3 linked regions of the Caenorhabditis elegans genome follow. The protein of the gene in region 1 interacts with the protein of each later gene in a pairwise test. Each region holds a gene or a part of one and is shown in the gene's direction. Other genes may lie near its edges. The genes, in order: pah-1, rps-10 and sax-7.

Region 1 (7,209 bases):
TTTTGGTATAGACATTACATTTCTGAAATTGGATACTCTTGAATGTAAACATCAGCAAATTGATGCAAAATTCTGTAGCTACTAAGATGAAAAAGAATTTCACAGAAATGCTCAGAGAAAGAAAACCTTTTGTACAAAATATAAAATTAAAAACCTAGAAAATGTTAATAAATAGGCAAATATAAAGCTACTCACTTATTGGATGGCCACGCACTTCCCCAATTGAAATCCTCCCAATCGTTGACGACTGTCAATAACTTTGAAGCACTTCCAGTGGAACCCTTTTCCTTTTCTTTTTCAGTCGCGTCTCTTGATCCAGCAATCTTACACAGAACCAAAAGATGTTCCAACTTTTTGGTGGTTTTCTGAACTAATAGATGAAATAAGCGTTTAAATAAAAAACCAACAATTTGCATTTCGTTATCAACAAAATGTGCGACAAGCTTCTCTGTGTTCACGCATCCTAATAGTCCATGCTCCGGCCAATACATTGATGCACTGTATTCACATCGAACCATTTCATATTTTCCTTCAATTGTCAAACTTTGTGCTTTTTTGAAGTTTACCCAATCATAATGAAATGATTTTGATTTTTCAATATGATCGAGAATAAGTAATTGAATGCTTCCTCCGACATCTGCTCCACTATATATCTTATCATCGAGAACAAACATGCACTGAAAAGTTGGATTAAATGGATATTTTTTATTATATAGTCTTAGAATTTCCTAGTTTATTTTTTAAAGGAAAATTTTCCCTAAAATATCAAGTGAGCCTAACATATCAATAGCAAATATGCAACAAACGATGAGTTGAAACTTGGCAAATCGATCCAGCTTTCCAGAGCACATATCTACCGTTGGTAAAATTCCCTGTAAAATTGGATTGATTGGCCAAGGAATCAAAACTTCGTGGTGGCTCTCCATATTTTTTTGTATTTTAATATTTTAATACCGCTTGTAAGTTACCTTTTATGCAGGCGAACTTGCATACTTGCAAGTTCAAATAATTGGAAGTCTATTTTTAATTTCTGAATAGTTATTTTTCCAGTTTACCTTCACCACTCCAGAATCGTTCCAAGCTCTGCCCATCACTGGTTTTCCGTGTTTATACCATAATGCGACGTACTTATTTGTCTCACCAGGAGCTTTTGCAACATTTGGTGGAAAAGGTGTGCCAACTTTTTGTAATGTCCAAATATCGTCTATGTTTCCCTGAATAAATCACTTGCAGAATGTTTGAATGCGTGCAATAGCCATCAAATAACTGAAAGCCACTCACCTTTTCCATTGTGAACCCTTTCCTATCCATTAAAAATTTAAAACTGATTTGATTTCACTGTTCCGACCATTTTTTTCTATCTGGTTCACGTAATAACGAGTTTTCTGCTGAACAAGTTTATTTAAATTTATTTAAAATATAGATAAAAATGGAAGGTCAGATTGGATATCTTCCACGCGACTCGGTGCATTCAAGATATAAGATGATAACGTAAACTGATGATTATCCCGGCAGTACCTCCTTCCTTTTCCTTTTTCGTACATTCCATCAGTTATATTATTGGTCTGTTGAGTCCAGCTATATAAGGATGAATATTGATGAAATTAGAAAGGTATGTTTGATCCATTTTTCTCAATATTATGATATAATTTTTGTACATCGAGCTCTTTATTTATACTAGTCCAACGTCAAACATTTGCATTTGTAATAAGAAACTGATGTTTGCCAAATTATCTGAAAAAAAAAATCAATTTGCTAATTTTGAATATTTTAAAAATACTTTTTTTCGGCCATACTTTAATTTTTCAAAAAGAGGGTAACAGCTGAAAATACATAAATACAAAGTCCTACCAGGCGGCCTATGCCAGCCTCTATTGCCAAAGTATACGTGATATCCGTGGAAGTTACAATCTAAACAAAAATTTGGTCAAAACTACGGAAATTATTAAAAAAAATTATAGAATTTGTTATCATACTATTAGAAAATTGTTAAATAATTTCAATTAATTAAAAACTGTTTGAACCAAAATATTTTGCTATCTTCAAAAGTGTTATCATCCTTATATTTTCCCCTGTTTTCATCGAAACCGTCGCTGATCAGTTGATCTCGTACACGAGTATTTTCAAAATTTCTCCATTTTTTATGATCAACCATCGACTAAATTAATTGTTTCAATGCTGTATTACTGTTCCTATTTACCTCATTGACATAGACATCTCAGATCATGGTCTGCAGAAGATTCGCGTTGCAAACGAAAATTTTCACGAAAAGTTGATAAAAGCCAGTCGGACATCATCAACTATTGATCGTTTCTGCCGTTTTCAAACTGATTTATGACATCGTCTTGTCTCATCCATTCATATAAATTTCTTTCTTCTAAATTTATCATCCTAAAATGTCAGACATTCAACCAAACGTCCTCCTATATATTTCCATCTAAATATTCCACGTCTTCATCTCATCTCATTTTCCTTCCTTTTCACAATACAAAGGATGCGTCAACCAGTTTTCATTATTGTGTTCTGTTGATTTTTCTCAGCGTCCCCCTCCTACTTTCGATTCGATACACCATGATTTTATGGCTTTTACCGTAACCCATTTGATCGTTTCAAAGAAAACTTGGTTTTTTCTTCAATCAAAACCATTGAAATGTCTGTTTAAGGTCAAAAACTAAAATTCGAGAAATTTGAGGAAGTTGAAAAAAAGTTTTGAACGAGGCTCGTCACAAGGCAGTCGTAAGACTCCAAATTCGGTAAATTTACTCAACAAAAAAAACCTGTTTCAGTTTCCCCTTTTTCAGCATCGTGAAAAAATGAAACATTCCACTATCCATATTTAAGCTTCATCAATTAATTGAAATTGAAAAATGACTGTATGTAAGCACATACGCCTGAAAAGGCCTACAATCCAATTCATACCCAACGTCTTAAATTTCAACTCAACTAGAAACAGAGATTTACATCTATTTTACGAAGAAGATCCACTGGGGCATGCTTTCTTTTGGAAGTTCAAACTGTATTTCATTGATCATAATCATATCTTTTATTGTTCAGGCGTCCATTTGTCTGTGATCTATTTCATATCATTTTCCACGTGCTTTCAAGTTCATCATCTGACTGTTCTTCTTCTTCTTCGTATTTTTTTCAATTTCTTCCAACCGTTCTTCTATCTCACACTACACTCTAATGAAAACCCACGTGTAGGTTGTGTATGGGTAGCCGCGAGTCTCCTCCCACGTGGATTTTTCTCTGCAGAATGGTATTGGGGGCCACACGAATTATCTAGTTCATAGGCCACGCCTTGTATCTCTAGGCTTCTGAGTCTCCAGCTATTTCGTCTCGTATAAACGGCAACGTACGGCTCACGTTTTGTCTCTGTTTAATTCTTATTTCCCGGTGACTGTCTATTCCTCTGAAAACCAAATCTTGTTCTCTGAAAATGCCACCAGCTGGACAAGATGATCTTGACTTCTTGGTGAGACCTTCCTTGTTTGAACTGATCAAGAAAAACTTCTGTTTGAGAATTTTGTGTAAAATTATTTCCAATTACTAAAGTCCAACTTATTTCAGAAGTACGCCATGGAATCGTACGTTGCTGACGTCAACGCCGACATTGGCAAGACTACTATCGTATTCACTCTTCGTGAAAAGGCAGGAGCTCTCGCTGAAACATTGAAGCTGTTCCAGGTTAGTCATGAAAAAAACCAGACTAGAAATGTCAGAGGATCATGAGACTTCAGAGGATGACTATTGCGTCAGCGACACTTTTTTTTTTAAATCTTATGATTCTCACGTCTACTCTTGATCAGGCGGTTTAATATTTTATGCATCATAAAGCGTTGAATAATATGATCTTCAATTATGTTTAGACGGTTGAGTAGACATAGAAAAAACATTTATATCAAATTAAAATTTGAAAATTTGCACCAAACTGTTTCTAAATATGATAAGAGATAAACTACGTAGTTGCATTTTTTAATCCGGTTCGCGATTTTTGATTATCAAAGATGTCGAAAATCGTGTCACGAGAAAAAGAGATCATATCAATTGTCTCAAATTCCTACCAATTACATGCTTCATTACACATTCTTGCAGGCACATGATGTGAATCTGTCTCACATTGAATCAAGACCATCAAAGACTCATGAAGGATGCTATGAGGTGCTCGTTGAATTTGCTGAAGCTGAAGACCATCGTAAGATTGAAGGAGTTATTGAGCATTTCCAACAAAAAGCTGAAAAGAAGGTTCTTGTTCAAGACTGGAACACCAAAAACAAACAAAACAAGGGTACGCTATAACAATAATGAAACTCACAGTATTAAATTCAAGAGCTTTGTAGATTCTGTTCCATGGTTCCCACAGAAGATCAACGACATCGATCAATTTGCCAACAGAATTCTTTCTTATGGAGCTGAGCTTGATGCCGATCACCCTGGATTTAAGGACATGACCTACCGCGAGCGCAGAAAGTTTTTCGCCGATATTGCATTCAACTTCAAACAGTAAGTCATTTCATCAACAAAAGTAGCAATATGTGCCAATAAATATGTAACATTGAAGGCGTACTGAATAAAATCCAAAAAATCCGAATTGCAACCTGATCGTACTTTCCAGCGGAGACAAGATCCCTACTATCACCTACACTGATGAAGAAATTGCCACGTGGCGTACAGTCTACAACGAGCTGACAGTTATGTACCCGAAAAACGCTTGCCAAGAGTTCAACTACATATTCCCACTCCTCCAGCAGAATTGTGGTTTTGGACCTGACCGCATTCCACAATTGCAGGATGTTTCAGATTTTTTGAAGGGTAAACAAATCATTATCATCTGATTGTTTTTGTATTTGTTTCGTGTTCAGATTGTACCGGGTACACGATTCGACCAGTCGCTGGTCTTCTTTCTTCTCGTGATTTCTTGGCTGGTTTGGCCTTCCGTGTTTTTCATTCCACACAATACATTCGCCATCATTCCGCTCCAAAATACACACCTGAACCGTGAGTTTGAACATGATAATTTTAACCGAGGGTGGGATTTCGTAAACGACTTTTGCTTTGAAAAAATTGTGAAAACTCTATAGTGCAACATAAAAGGAAAATAAAATCTAATCGGTTGATTATCATCTGGATATATTCTGAATTTTTGACAATAAGCTGGAGATGTAACTTTCAGAGATATCTGCCACGAGCTTCTGGGACATGTTCCACTATTTGCTGATGTTGAATTTGCACAATTCTCACAGGAAATCGGTCTTGCTTCTCTTGGAGCTCCAGATGATGTTATTGAAAAACTTGCCACAGTATGTTTGAACATTGAAACCCCCTTTTTATTTTGAAATATTAGCTCTACTGGTTCACAATCGAATTTGGAATCTGTCAACAAGATGGGGAGAAAAAAGCTTACGGAGCCGGACTTTTGAGTTCATTTGGAGAGCTTCAATATGCGTTGAGTGATAAGCCGGAAGTTGTAGATTTTGATCCAGCTGTATGTTGTGTCACCAAATATCCAATCACAGAATATCAGCCAAAGTATTTCTTAGCTGAATCATTTGCAAGTGCTAAGAACAAACTTAAGTAGGATCAAATAGTCAGTTTCAACTGTAATCTAGATAATTTCAGATCATGGGCAGCTACCATCAATCGTCCATTCCAAATTCGTTATAATGCTTACACTCAACGAGTTGAAATTCTCGACAAGGTAGCAGCACTTCAACGTCTCGCAAGAGACATCAGAAGTGATATTTCTACTTTGGAAGAAGCTCTTGGAAAAGTGAACAATCTCAAGATGAAGTGACTTTTTGATTAAATTGTTAATTTGCAAGAATAAATGTACATTGTTCTCAATGTTTGTTGAATTACAAAGAAACCTGAACAACAATTACAAATTTGTCCATGCTGCTCGATTTACAGACGATTTTTAAACTACCTACGATGGAGTTACAACTATGATGACTGTTCTAAAAAACATATCATATTCCCTTAACTCCTTGAAAACAGGGAAATGTGAAAACTAATTAATTAAAAATAGTGTTCACCGTCGTTGGAAGCAATGCACTGAAATGAAAATAAACAATTCGAAGCCTTGTTCACTTCCAATTGTTTTGTTTTTTTTCTCTCGCCAGGATTAACGCGTATTTTTCCAACATTTTTCCGGCATCTGAAACGATTTCCTTTTCAGCAATTACTTTATTTGAAGCATCACATGAAAAAAGTGCGAAAAATTGGTGTGAGCACCAAAATGTTTCCCAAATTAAAGCCAGTTATCCATTTTTGTTGCAAAAACCACGTCATCTACGACAGCGAGTGTTTTGGTGTGAGTGATCTAACTGCGAAAAACGAAAACTGTGCATATAAATTGTCATGCATTTTTGATTATTGTTTAGTTTTTGTGTGTGTGTGTGTGTTGTACGGAAGTCTCGTTGTGTGTCCAAAATGAAGTGCTTTTGACTTCATCTGCAAAAAGAAGTAAAAACTGGCACTGAGTTCTCAAAACTAGGTTATGCAAATGTAGAGGTCTAGTGAAACATTTGTATGTGCACTTTGTTATCATTTTAAAGGTGCGGCTCCACGTACATTTAATCAATTCTTTTTCTTCTTATGTTGTCTTCCTTTCTTATCATGATTATTACAAGCATGCGTTTTCAACTCCTTTTCAATTCATTTTTTTTGGAAATTAAATTGAATTTGTGTTTAATCAAAACATCAATTTTCCCAATTTTAGTATCTAGTTGGCACTTGTGTATTATTTCCCTTATTTTTAAAAAATAAGTTTTAATATTTTAACCATAACCAGGAAATAACCGTAAAGAGGGAAAATGAACATCATGTTTTATTAAAATGGATAAATATATGGAATTTAAAAATGAGGGGAAATAATACACAAGTACCATCTATTTTACTTTAAAGATTGGCCAAATAATACATTCGGGTGTATTTTTTGTTTAATTTTTTGCAAATCTTCAAAGAGTAATCCTTTTGTTTAACCAATTGTTTCACTATTAAAATATGATTTTGATAGAATAAAATAATTGGAAACATATAGTACTGCCAGCTGTGTGAACATGCACACTGTTTGCATTCTCAATCGAATATTTTCCCTCTTTCCCTCGACCCACGATTTTATTATTTTTCATATTTGGAATGGAAGACGGTCAGCTTTTTATAGTTTTTTTTGTCTATCAAATAAACTTTTTTCAGAATCAGATGAAA
Region 2 (5,534 bases), on another chromosome or scaffold:
CACAACCCTGATTCAGATTTGATAGTTATTCTGTCTCCCGTTTCCTTGCAGAATTACCTCCAAAAACAAAATAGCTGCATAATTAAAGTGAATAAACATGAAGCTAAGTCCAGCGGCTCCAAAAAGTATTGCAGCGAGTGCTGCGATAGAATTCATCGTGAAAAATTGCACAAGAAACACGGCTTGGCCTCGTATTCTAGTTTTTAACGGCCTTTGAACTAGATGTATCGTCTGAAAATGAACTGAATTAAAAAACATTTTGTTTTTCTTTTTCTGAAACCTTGACATATCGACTGAAAATTGTGTTCGTTGCCACGTGGCAGATTGCAATGAAACAGTACCAACAAGCGAATAATGTCAAATCGGTGCATCGAGAACGAAGGGCAAAAGTATCACGAACGTATTCACCGAAGTCGATGTAGTGTTTACTGAAATGGAAATATTTACCGATTTATTTACACTTTAAATATTACGGGAACACTAAATTCTGAAAATGCACATTACACAACGTATTCGACGCGACACAGTCTCCTCCAGTGGAAATCGGTTTGTTGGCGCACTTCTCGTGCATCGCGTGCAAAATTGAGAAATTACCGAAAACGTTTCAATTTACTGTTTTTCTTCATATTTTTCATAATATAAGCCTTGGTGGAAGATTACTTTTCAAATGAACATCAAATTCCACTAGAAAAATGATGATAAATATACGAAATATGAGAAAAACTCAATTTTTAGCGGTTTTTTCTTTTTATATCAGCGCTTTTATTTTTGAACCAAAATCAAAAATCTTTTTTTTCCACCTTGCCCTTAATTAGCTTTACAATTGATACGTAATTAAAAAGTTTGAAATCGATTTTAAACCCGTGAAAACTGAAGGAAATCACTTTTCAACGGTAAAATTTTCCCACGCTCACGAGAAACGCGCAAGCCCCCTTGTTGGGTCATTTCCACGTGAGAAGGCTGTGCGCGAAAATATTTTGTAGCGAAAACTACAGTAACTATTTAAATGACTACTGTAGCGTTTATGTCGATTTACGGGCTCGGGTTTCGACATGAGTAAAAATCGTTTTTTTTTAATTTACAGAATATTAAAACTTAGCAAAAAAAACTTATTACGAAGAAACGAAGGAAAGTAGAATATCGATGTCACAATTCGGAAAGAAATTCACTTCGAAAATCGACACAAGCACTACAGTAGTGATTTAAAGAATAACTGTAGTTTTCGTTACGAGGTATTTGCGCGTCAAATATGTTGCACACTACGAATTCTCAGAATTTTGTGTTCCCGGAATAACTTTATTTTGTCTGAAACTAACTTATCCGTCTGTGCAAACGGTGGAACTATGCAAAAGCACAGTACTGCGAGCTTTTCTTGTGTAAACTCTCTGATGCATCTCGCCCATTCAACAGATTCCGCATCTTCCAGCTGATTCAGCACTGACAATCTTTTAATGAGATTTCCCATTCTTCGAATCACCAGAAACCAGATCACTGTTAAACAGAATACCATAAAGCATGCACACATCACAAATCGTTTCACGAGAAGAGCTTCATCGATCACGTGCAGAAAAGGAACTTGTTCGCTTAGAAATCGAGTGAGACTGAATTTTTGAAACCATATTATCCTTTTTAATAAGTCCAGAAAACTAACTATCTTTTGCTGAAAAATGTAGTGAATTTTGCTTTCAAAATATCAAGATCTAAAGAGTCGTTTCGAACTAAAAGCCCACGATTCCTATTGCTGACGGTGACATCACATAGTTCATCGGAGTTGATGATCCCCTCGAGAGAATCCGAATTTAAATTCCTTATGTCTATCGGAATTTCTTCAATCAGTCGGTACATATAAATGGCGAACCCAACAGTAAGAACACTGTACTGGGCTATTCGAAGAGTCCTCATTCTAAACAAACTCAAATGAACAGATTCGGATAGTTCTGTTAAAATAATAATTTGAGAATACTTTTCTTGTTGGATGTCTTGCATTAAAACTTTAACGGTCAACAAAATTTATTACAATAACGGGACCGAGAACGTTTATCGCTTTCCTCCGACACGTGGAGCAGCAGTCTTCACATTCTTGGCGGTCTTTTGCTGGGTCTTTGGCTGAGAGGCCTTCTTTTCCTGAAAACCAATGATAAAGAATTGACAAAATTAACTTGTTTTTAAATTTCATGCATATGGTAAATTGTCGGACTTCACACGAGACATGCTTATTGATATTACAGCTTCAAATAACTTGAAGCAATAATACCAACACATGGCAATTGTGCCCGTCCTTTGCTTTTGCAATACTTCAACACTCGTAAAATCACATATACCTTACAAGCTCTAACAGCATGCTAAAGTTTATAATAAATATTGTAGAAAGTTTACCTTGTTGGCAGCAGCCTTGGCGGCACGGACAGCCTTGTTGGCATCCTTGGCGATCTTAGCGGCTTGTTCACGCTGTTGGCGACGGAAGTCTTCGGTCTGGTTTCTCTTGGCAAGGATAGCATCAAGGGAAAGTCCAGCGACGGCGCGGTTAACAACCTGGACGGACTTCTTGGTCTTCTTTCTGGTGACTTGCTCTTGTCCGTGGGTTCCCTGTAAAATTACCAATTTTCAACTGCGTTTAAGGATCTCAAGTACCTTCTTGTTCTTGATTCTGTAGAGGACAGTCCATCTGATGTCACGTGGGTTACGGCGAAGCTTGGCTCCCTTGAGTGCCTTTCCACTGAGGAAGATTTGGACCTGAAATTTGAATAAATAAATCATGAAACGGTAGTTTGTCGCACTCAACACGTGGCATGCTTAACGATGGTATAACTTCTAAAAACTAGAAGATATAGCACCAACACATACATAAGGTGATTATGCTTTACTTTTGCAATACTTCAACACTCGTAAAATTACAATATACCTTACGAGCTCTAACAGCATGCTAACGCCTTTCAAAGAGAAACTGAACTCACCTTTCCGTCAGTACGGACAAGTCTCTTTCCGTGTCCTGGGTGGATCTTGTATCCGGAGTAAACGCAGGTTTCGACCTTCATTGTTGATAGGCCCTCGCTTGACGAATCTGAATTTCAACATTTTTGAGATAAATTTAGGATAAAGTAAAATCAACGACAATTATCAAGGATCTGTTTGTAGCTTATAAAAATAACGAATTTAATTTCCAATAATCAATTATTCCCAAAATTAAAACATTCGTGAACAAGGAGTTGGGATAGGCCTCGAAAAAAAAACGAAAAAATTCTTTCCTCTCTTCAAAACTCCTCTAATGCAAAAGATAGGGGCGCTACGCAGCAAGAGTACGGTAACACTCGTTTCGGCTGTGCGAATTTAACCAAAATCACTTGTTTCTCTGTGTCGCTGCGTGTGTGCCCCTATGTAATGCATTAGTCGGAAGAATTTCGTTGTACCTCTTTTCTTTCAATTTTTTTTTCCAAAATCCCGTTTCTTTGAAAATTTAGTGACTTATTGTGTTAAAAAAGTGAAAATTTATACTCTAATAAGCAATCAATCCTGAATTTCCAGGTGGAATTCTGTTGAGTCCCAAAAATAATGCATCTCAATCGATTTTTCTTGTTTCTGCCCTACTTTTGAAGATTCCTCCAATCGCCAAAAAATCTCTTCCTATTTCGTAAAAAATTGTGCATTGTTATAAATTGTGTATTTGTTTCAGAACTTGCGGTCATCATGTTCATCCCGAAAAGCCACACCAAGCTCATCTATGAGTACCTCTTCAACGAGGGAGTGACTGTCGCCAAGAAAGACTTCAATGCCAAGACTCACCCAAACATCGAGGGAGTTTCCAACCTTGAGGTCATCAAGACTTTGAAGGTGAGTTATTTTTCCCATAATTAAAAAAATCAATAATCTATTGTGATTACAGTCTCTTGCCTCCCGCGAGTTGGTTAAGGAGCAATTTGCCTGGCGCCACTACTACTGGTACTTGACCGACGCCGGAATCTTGTACCTCCGTGAGTACCTCGCTCTTCCAGCTGAGATCGTCCCAGCCACCATCAAGACCAAGCCAAGAGAGATCCGTGTCCCACACGAGGATAGAGCCCCACGCGCCGGTAAGTTTTGTCCTACAAGTACTTTTATTGATTGCTGAAAATATTCAGCTCAAGGCGAGAAGGGAGACCGTGAAGCCTACAGAACCGAGAAGGTCACCGAGGCTGGACCAGGAGGAGCCCCAGTCTACAGAGCCGGATTCGGCCGTGGAGCCCCACCACCACAATAAATGTTATTGTTTTTCTAATGAAATTGTTACATCAAAAGTTGAATTAATACAATAAACAAAACGGTGAATTTTCCATCAACAAGTACATTGTCACTCTGCCTAGAATCGTAATACATTTTGTGGAATTTAAGTAAGATATGCCGCCTCGAAGACGAGTGCCGGCACCTCCACCACAAGCTCCTTCCGTGCCAGCTTCAATCCCAAGAGCGAGTGGTGTAACGCTTTCCGTCCATCCTATATGGCCGGATATTCAGTTCACACAAGGAGAGCTATTTTTCGAATGCACTTTGTTTTTATATTCAGTATTGGCTTTATTTTTACAATATCTGAATATATACAAAACTCTTTGGTGGCTTCCGAAGTCGTATTGGCATTATTCACTTGTAAGTGTGAAAAAGGATAACAGGAAATTCAATATGTCCATTATTTTCAGAAATTCCATCTCATAAATCCATATTTCCTGTCATGTGTTGGCCTTTTACTTGGCTGGAGGGTAACCGTCTGTTTCTGGAAAACGGTAATGCCTTACATTTATTAAAATAGAAATCAATAATAAAGAATTGTGCAGATAACTGAAGTGATCGCCACAATATCCGCCAACCAGTCGCAGTTTATTCAGTCGAGCCTGATGATTGTAGAATATGCAGCAATTAAAACACCAGTGATGACACTGATCATTACGAGCTTCCTTTTCAGTTTTAATCGAGTCTGTCACGATTTTCCGAGTAGATCTGTGCTTTGGTTTTTATTTCCGTAAGTTGTCGGATTTTTGCAAATACACAGTCAAATTGACCTATTGCGCCATCTTGTTTCAGCATTTTTTATTAGAAATTAGTGTCAAAGTATAGAAAATCACTTTGTTTAAATATATTAAAATATAATTTATTTCAGTTTAAACAAAGAAATGCTTAAAAATGACCTGAAAATTGCAAATTTGTCGATTATCGAATTATCGAGCATTGTTTTTAGGCAATTGACAAGTTTCAGGACATTTTTGTGCATTTTTTGAGATGCTTACATTTAAATGAATGATATTTTAAAATAAATAAAGTGATTCTCTATTCTAATGAAAGCTTTTGGAACAAAATGGCGCAATTGGTCATTTTGGATAATCCAAACATCGATAAAAAGACCAATTAATCCAACTCATAGAAAAGTTAATAAAGAATCGATAAAATTCAACTTATTTAATAAATTATTTAATATTTAATAAATTTGTTTCAGAATCTTATTCTACGCCTTCATTTTCCGATCTGAAATCATCGGATGGCTCGGACGGTTCCGTGAACAAATTGGAAAA
Region 3 (7,195 bases), on another chromosome or scaffold:
ATTTTCAAAAATATCATCGGATCTTTTTAAAGAACTCCGATAATTAATACTTTTTATTAATTTGAAATTTGAGTTTATGTTGAAGTTTTAAAACATTCTTGCAAAAGAAAAGCGATCTGGATAAACTTTGCTTGGACGTTATCGAGCATTTTATGAAAAATTCAGTTTTCAAAATGATCCACTAACTTGTCCTGTTAAATTTAAGATTTCTTACTATTAGGAACAAATGTCAGAGTTTGTCAAAAATATTTGGCCTTTTTCTTTCAGTTAACATTTTTCATTTTTTGAAAAAAAAAATAGGAATGAGTCATACTTTTTCGGTTCAAATAACTCCTCCCACCGTTCATTCGACCACTCGCTTCACTGTTTTCATAATTTATTATTCTCTCCTCTCATTCATTTATCACTAAAAGCCACGAGTCATGGGATTTTTACTAATTTTCAGATAATATTCAGAAATACTAGGATGCCTTAAGTCTCTTGTAGTCTTGTACGTAATGTTCAATTGATTTGTTCAGGTCACAGAACTAACTTTTTAAAACAAGCCTGAAGGGCTTCCAATGTCCATCACAGTTAGAAAGTATTATTATAGTGTTACAAACGTTCATTTGAAACTTGTCTGCGTCTCACAAATGTTTCAAACTTACTTATGCTCGTGGAAGAGGTTTGCAACCTTCTCACGGCCATTCTTCCATTTTGTTAATGGAGGGAGACTGAAATCTCGTGAAGAATTTTTTTTTTATTTAACGAGAAAGTTAAAGAAAACAATTTTTAAAATTTCTGAAAAATATCATGCGTCTCACAGGGAAAAGATGTGAAAGATCTGTTGATTCGAAGAGGTGTAAAAAGAAATCCCGAAATTCATACTGTTAATCCAAAAACCAAAAAATGGCTATAAATTTCTGTAAGACTGTTATTTTTTTTATCTTGATAGGATTATCGTGATGGGTGGCAGCATCAATTCATCTGTGACGATTCGGGTGTTCGTCTTCTGTCCTTTTTGTTTTATTACCGTCCCGACCGACCGCTGTAGAAAACGGAAGATACCCTCTTTTTCCCCTACCCATCCTTATATTGATACATCTAAAGCGTGCCTTCTCATTTCTCTATAGCAACTTTATTTAATAATTCATTCTTTTTGATGTTCACTGCTGTTGAAGCTACTCTCTATGTTCTGCTTGATCTGCTCATCGTGGCGGTGTTCATGAAAGCAAGATTGATGTGTTATGAATAATGAGGAAAAGAGAGTGAACTGCCAAATCCAAATTTTATGAATTTGGAGAAATAACCAGACCTCTTTTGGCTCAGAGACACACTCATTTTACGACCTTCTTCCGTGACATATAGAGAGTAATGCGGACGAAAGGATTTCGAGAAATCTGTCCGATCGACTTAGCACAATGCTCCGGAAGTATATAGTCTGTGGTGTCACAGGTTTTTTTTTCGCATCAAAAATTTCATGTCTCCAAGTCGATGAAACTGAATTGTATTTTTTTATTTTAGAAATAATTTTTTTAAAAAAAATTTTTAAATCGCGTTATCCAAAGAAAAAACGAATAATTCAATAGAGAAACTAGGCTTGATCGAAAGGTAGACCAGAAATTTTGCAATCGTTTCGAGACCCGAGCATGTGCGCTCTGTTGCGCGCCTTTGCTACAGTACTTGCATTTGTTTTGTTTCGCCGCCAAAACGATTTTTAACGAAAACTCTGAATTTTCTCTGTTTTTCTAGTGTTTTTACTTGTAAAACTACAAAATTTATTAGTCTAAAAGTAAATTAAAACATCTGAAAGTCGTTTTCGATTCGAAATAACGTTTAAATCACATTTTCCGTTAAAAACCTGATCATGTTCCCGTTTTGAATGTTTCAGACGCGCTGTGTTGAAAATTTAGCTTTTTTCGGATAAAAATCACCTATTTTCTGTCGTAAATGATTTGTGGCCCAGAATCTTTGAAGTCTTGTTATTCTTTTACCCACGCATCCATACGTCTCATAGGTGACATCTCGTGCGTAGAACATTTTGAGCAACAAAAATCGAGTAGCGTGACGCGAACGCATTTTTCTTTTTTCCTTTTCTTTCCTGAAAACGTCCTTGAAGAACGGCCGCTTCTGAAGAATGGAGCAGCTCTCGTTCTGATTGCAAAAAAAAACGAGACAACCGGTAAAGTACAATGCCATCGGCTACCGCCATGCGCAGATTGCGTCGGTTCTGTGTGTGTGTGTGTGTGTGTGTGTGTGGACTGTCAACGAATACATCTATCACCCCCGTTGACTTCTCCTCATGCCCTTCTTTTCTCATCTTGCATTCCATTTTTTCCACCTTATGTTTTTGTCTGTACTTTTTTAAAAATAACTTTTTTTGTTGATAATTTTCGAAACTTTTTTCTCTTAATTTTATTTTCGTAATGAATCAAACAACAGATTTAATTTCTTATTCTCATCGTTAATCCAACGTGCTTCCTCATGGTCACTTTTCGGTCAGCGGGGTAGATTCCCATGAATTCTCGCTTTTTTTCATTTGCATAATCGGGAAAAGGAGAAACCTAGACAAAATAAGAAGTTCTTTATTTCATTCTTCTGATTTTAAAGTCTTTCGTTTATTTTCCGGTTTTAATGTAATCCCAATTTTCGAAATTTTAAAGATGAATCAGATTTTGTACGAGAATAGTTTCATTTGCACAAGTAGTAGTACAATTATTTTCTTGAAAATTGAGGGAAGATTCTATTTTTTCAAACTAATTCATGTTTGTTTAATTCTTAACGTTTCCTTTTTTTTCATTTCTCGTTGTTTTTTCTCCGAACTTCTCTCAAAATTCTTCGCAAGCTTTATTCCAATTTCAGGATAGAAAAAGAGTATCGAACGAAGTTCGACGCGATTCTAGATCACGTCGAAAGACCACCATCATGAGGAGCTTCATATTCCTCTTGTTACTCACTGGCCACATATCATCAGGTGAGAATTCTTTTGACGTCGAGGACATCATATCGCTTCGAAAATTGTTTGATTGGCGATTCATGTTGACATATTTGATTGCAACATCATTTTACGCCCTTTTTTGTTGTTTTTTAATGGCAAAAATGAAAATAAATATGGAATCAAGATATTCAAAGCCTTTTTATAGAAAAAAATTGTAAATAAATAATATTGAGAAAAACGCTGAAAAGCATTTGATGTGCTCAAATTTATGAACAAAAAACAAATATTTCTATAACAGAAACAATTGTCAAATATCCATATATATGTAGCAACATTTCTAATAAAAACTGTTTCAGGCAGCATAGATTGGTCAGCGATCGAAACTCCTCCACAATTTGTTCACGATAAGAATGCAGATACCGTTTACTTTAAAGTCGAAAAAAGTGGAATGAGTGATGAATCGGCGAAAAATACGCCCGGTAATCTGCTCGAACAAACGATTCATTGCTATGCAAATGGAAATCCAAGGCCTTCGTAAGTTTTTTGTAATGTTTCTGAAAAAGTAAAATTTAGAAAAAAAAATGAATCTTCAAATATCTTAAAATAATTTTTATTGAAAATTAGACTTGCATGCAATACTAATTGGGAAAGATACGGTAGTTTCTATCTAAATTTGAAAAAAAATTCGAAGTCTTTTTACTGCTTCTAAAATTGCTTTAAAATCCTTTTGGCAGTTTTGGTGGAGCATTAAAAAATTTGAAAATTCAACATTATGCTCTACGAACAGTTTCCATTTGCATTTTTATTTTTCAACTTCCAGAATTAAAAAGTGTTCAAAATATGTTTTTTATACTATTTTCTTTATTACAGATATCGTTGGAAAAAGGATGGTAAGACGTTCCTGCCGTCCATGTTTCCGGAGAAAGTTGTTCAGAAACCAGGAGAAGGTGAATATTTTTTGTTGTTGTAAAAATCTAAAATTGAGAGAATATGGAACATTTTTGAAATTAAAAAGATGGAGTAACTGAATAGTTAAATGTTTGTTTCAAATTATTATTCTGATTTGAAAAAAGTTCACTTCATTTAAATATAAACAAATTTGTTTTATTTTTGTGCAATTATAAAACTCCCACATGCAGGAAAAACAGGAAAACAGTTTTTCCTCAAATCCAAAAAAAATCGAAATTTTCGGTTAGGCCTAAAAACCGAGAAATATTGATTTCTCATTAAAAAAAAGTTCGGTTTTTCAGAAAACCTGTTCTGAAATAAATATGACATTTTCCAGGAAGCCTTGTGTTCTCCCGTCTTGATGAATCTGATGCCGGATTATATCAATGTGAAGCTGAAAATTCGAATGGAACAGCTGTTGATCGTCCTGTCCGTGTACAAGAAACATGGATTCGTCATTTCAAAACTGCGGAACCAGAAGTTGTAGTTGTCGAAGTTGGAGATCCGTACCAAAGAAATTGTTCTCCACCTGCTAGTAATCCATACGCAAGAGTTTATTGGATTCTTATGGGAAAAGAACCGGGACATTTCGAAACTATCAGTAGTAGTCATATTTCTAGCAATGAACAAGTGAGTGATAACAGTTTTTTTTTTCATTCTTTTTACAGATCGTTTCTCGTAACCTCATTGTGCCAAGAAAACTTTTCTCATTCACTCCCTGTTCTTTGTAAACCAAAATCAAACAATTTTCATAGAATTGAACGATTTTTGGAGAAAGATTGAAGAAAAAACTATTCAGTGCTTCTGGCTGTATCGTATTCAATTTTTCGAAAAAAAAATAACTAGACGAATAATCTCTGCGATTAAGTTTCAAATTTGCTGCTCGTTCCAATCTTCAAATACTAAAGAAAACTTCAATTTCCATGTATTTTTTTTCAATTAAAATCAAATCAAACAGAAGTTTTTAAAGTGTTTCGATTCTATATTTTGAAATTGTAACTCGTGGATGATTTCGACGATTCTCGTTTTTAAAGCCAATTCGAAAACTACTTTCCCATTTTCCCAAGCCAAATTGATTTTTTTTGACAACATCTAAAGCATTTTTGTTTCGTTCTCACGAAAAGTACGTTTGAAAATATAGCATATGATGGTCAGCTTTAAACACTTATTTCGACGAATTGATAATTTATCCGACAAATATGCAATCAAATTATATTTTTACATTTGGCATTTTTATGCTAAAATTTCCTGTTGTTAAGTTGGTATCTGTTTCTAGTGTACGTACTAACAATTAGGTCCTTCTGTCGATTCTTGCCTTCTATTCATACATCATACCAATATACATCGCCCTTCTCACTATTATTATATTCTATGTCCAAATTCTATTGTAACCCCTATAATACAGACCCTTTTCCCGACGTCTCCATCAGATGAATAAGTTTTTTTTTGCGTTACAACAACACCTGTCCACTTCTATTTGTACCTTTCCGCCACCATTTTTCCGTTGCGTAATTCAGTAGTTTGCAACATTTTTTCCGTTGTTATTACGTCTCCATCGCAATTAGTTAGACATACCCCCGGAGGTTGAAGGATGAGAAATGACCTTCTGAAGTTTAACCAGTTGAAATGAGAATATTTTGAAGTGGATAGAAAGACATTAGCTGCTCCTAAGAAGTAACCCTTTGAGCTTTATCCTCCATTCACACATTGTGAAAAGTGGCCTCACATAATATGAACGAAGATGATGATACTGGTGTGAACCTATTTGGAGAGGAGAGAACGGGAATGAGAGAAACGAAGAAAAAACAGATTAGCTGCTGTTAAGTGGTGGTTTTGTCGTCTTAATTTGATTGAAATTTTTTGACGAGACCTTTCAATTGTCTCCATTTTTTTGTTTTAAATGATGAAAAAGCTTACTTTTTTAGCGAATCAAAAAGCAGTTGTTTTTGTATGCTTTTAAAAATAGTTTTTATATTAGTCTTGCACTTTTACGAAACTCACCGCCTGAACTTTGAATAATAAAAATAATTTATTTTTGAACAATCAAATAAAAATCTTAAACGGAAATATGGTACGCAAAAATTAATACGCAAAACTTTGCGATTTTTTAGCCAAAAATACGGTACCAAAATGGGCGTGGTTTTAAATTTTTTTTTTTGATAGCCAAATATTTATTTATTAAAAAACTCAAAAAGATTTATAACATTTTAATTTCAAAAAATCGAGAAAAAAAAAGAAAAATCGAAGAAAATTGTAGAAATTACAGTGCTCTTTATAGGCACACGCCTGGATGTATTAAAAAAAATTGGCGTGTCGAGACTGACTACCGTATTTTAGTTTTCTATATTTTTTCTGTTTAATAACAAGTCTGTTCTCAAGACGTTATATTTTCAAAATGTGCCAAAAATGTGAATTTTTCAACAAAAAACCACACTCGCCCAAGCTTTTTCTATATTTCCGTTCCAGAAAAATGCATGACTTGAAATGTTTTTGTAGTCAAACAACAAAAAGCAATCAGACAGTATTCTGCTTTCTTCGTGCTACAAAATAGAAAAATGTGATGGTGTAGATGAAGTGAATCTTGTTTTTCTTTCAATTTCGCGCTGTTTTTTTTCTAAAATTCTTCATCTATTTCGTAGTATATGAAGCTTTTTGTACGATCCGGATTAGTGTCGTAATTGAAGCCCTTGGTGTGGCGGCGCCTTGACGGATGCACTTCTTCATTCACTTTTTCCTCTTCCTTTCACCTTTCCTGACTTTATACCGATTATGAGTTGAGTGACCACTGCCACCACCACCACCAACATAGCCATTATAATCTTCTTTTGCTCTTTTCTCTTTTCAATGCTTCACCGATTCTTCTTCTTCAGCTTCTCCTTGTGCTTCGTCTCTAGGTAATTCCCCATTGGGTTGACGACGACGGCAAGGAAAGGAAGGCGTAGAAGAAAAGGAGGGAAGCGTCATTTTGGGTGCTCGTGCGGCGCTTTTGGTGCTTCTCTGGTGGTAGCGATGGTGTAGATGGTGGTAGAAGGAGGCGTTACCCATGAGATGAAAGAAGGAGGAGTGCGCAGAGAAAATGAGCGTGAAATTCAGAGAAAATAGGAGGAAGAGATGAAGTGAAGAGAGACATAGAAATACACACAAATACGAGTGCTGTGTTTGGGGCAAGTGAGAGATAGGAAAGAGAGAAAGAGATCTACTGCTGCTGGTTGCTGCTGCTACTGCTGCCAGTGCTGTGCCTCTTCGCCTTCTCACTACTGCCAGAGCCCCCGTCTCAACTACCCGCCTTACTTGTCCCATCACGTCTCCCCCGTTTCGGGTATCTCTTTT

The links.
Region 2: the proteins of pah-1 (region 1) and rps-10 interact in a two-hybrid assay, tested with the Caenorhabditis elegans proteins (2 studies listed by BioGRID).
Region 3: the proteins of pah-1 (region 1) and sax-7 interact in a two-hybrid assay, tested with the Caenorhabditis elegans proteins (one study listed by BioGRID).

The regions. Positions count from the first base shown.
Region 1 is NC_003280.10:8,761,302-8,768,510, reverse strand, and holds pah-1 (Phenylalanine-4-hydroxylase), read left to right. Parts: upstream 1-3,299; 5' UTR 3,300-3,439; coding exon 3,440-3,475; intron 3,476-3,570; coding exon 3,571-3,687; intron 3,688-4,095; coding exon 4,096-4,288; intron 4,289-4,340; coding exon 4,341-4,503; intron 4,504-4,615; coding exon 4,616-4,812; intron 4,813-4,862; coding exon 4,863-4,998; intron 4,999-5,173; coding exon 5,174-5,300; intron 5,301-5,344; coding exon 5,345-5,574; intron 5,575-5,619; coding exon 5,620-5,794; 3' UTR 5,795-5,889; downstream 5,890-7,209. Other genes in the region: nsph-1.1 (Nematode Specific Peptide family), read right to left, coding at 1-22, 196-365, 408-677, 807-872, 1,056-1,214, 1,282-1,311. UniProt on the Caenorhabditis elegans protein: Catalyzes the hydroxylation of L-phenylalanine to L-tyrosine. Catalyzes the hydroxylation of tryptophan to 5-hydroxy-L-tryptophan. Plays a role in the biosynthesis of a melanin-like cuticle pigment.
Region 2 is NC_003279.8:4,582,642-4,588,175, reverse strand, and holds rps-10 (Plectin/eS10 N-terminal domain-containing protein), read left to right. Parts: upstream 1-3,670; 5' UTR 3,671-3,684; coding exon 3,685-3,828; intron 3,829-3,880; coding exon 3,881-4,067; intron 4,068-4,115; coding exon 4,116-4,234; 3' UTR 4,235-4,303; downstream 4,304-5,534. Other genes in the region: D1007.10 (Gustatory receptor), read right to left, coding at 58-231, 281-428, 1,317-1,601, 1,652-1,902; rpl-24 (Large ribosomal subunit protein eL24), read right to left, coding at 2,038-2,124, 2,377-2,586, 2,632-2,733, 2,955-3,035; tmem-39 (uncharacterized protein), read left to right, coding at 4,372-4,617, 4,668-4,751, 4,803-4,987, 5,459-5,534.
Region 3 is NC_003282.8:8,059,828-8,067,022, forward strand, and holds the start of sax-7 (Neuroglian), read left to right. Parts: upstream 1-2,831; 5' UTR 2,832-2,904; coding exon 2,905-2,953; intron 2,954-3,273; coding exon 3,274-3,451; intron 3,452-3,787; coding exon 3,788-3,864; intron 3,865-4,202; coding exon 4,203-4,495; intron 4,496-7,037; exon of another isoform or gene 7,038-7,195.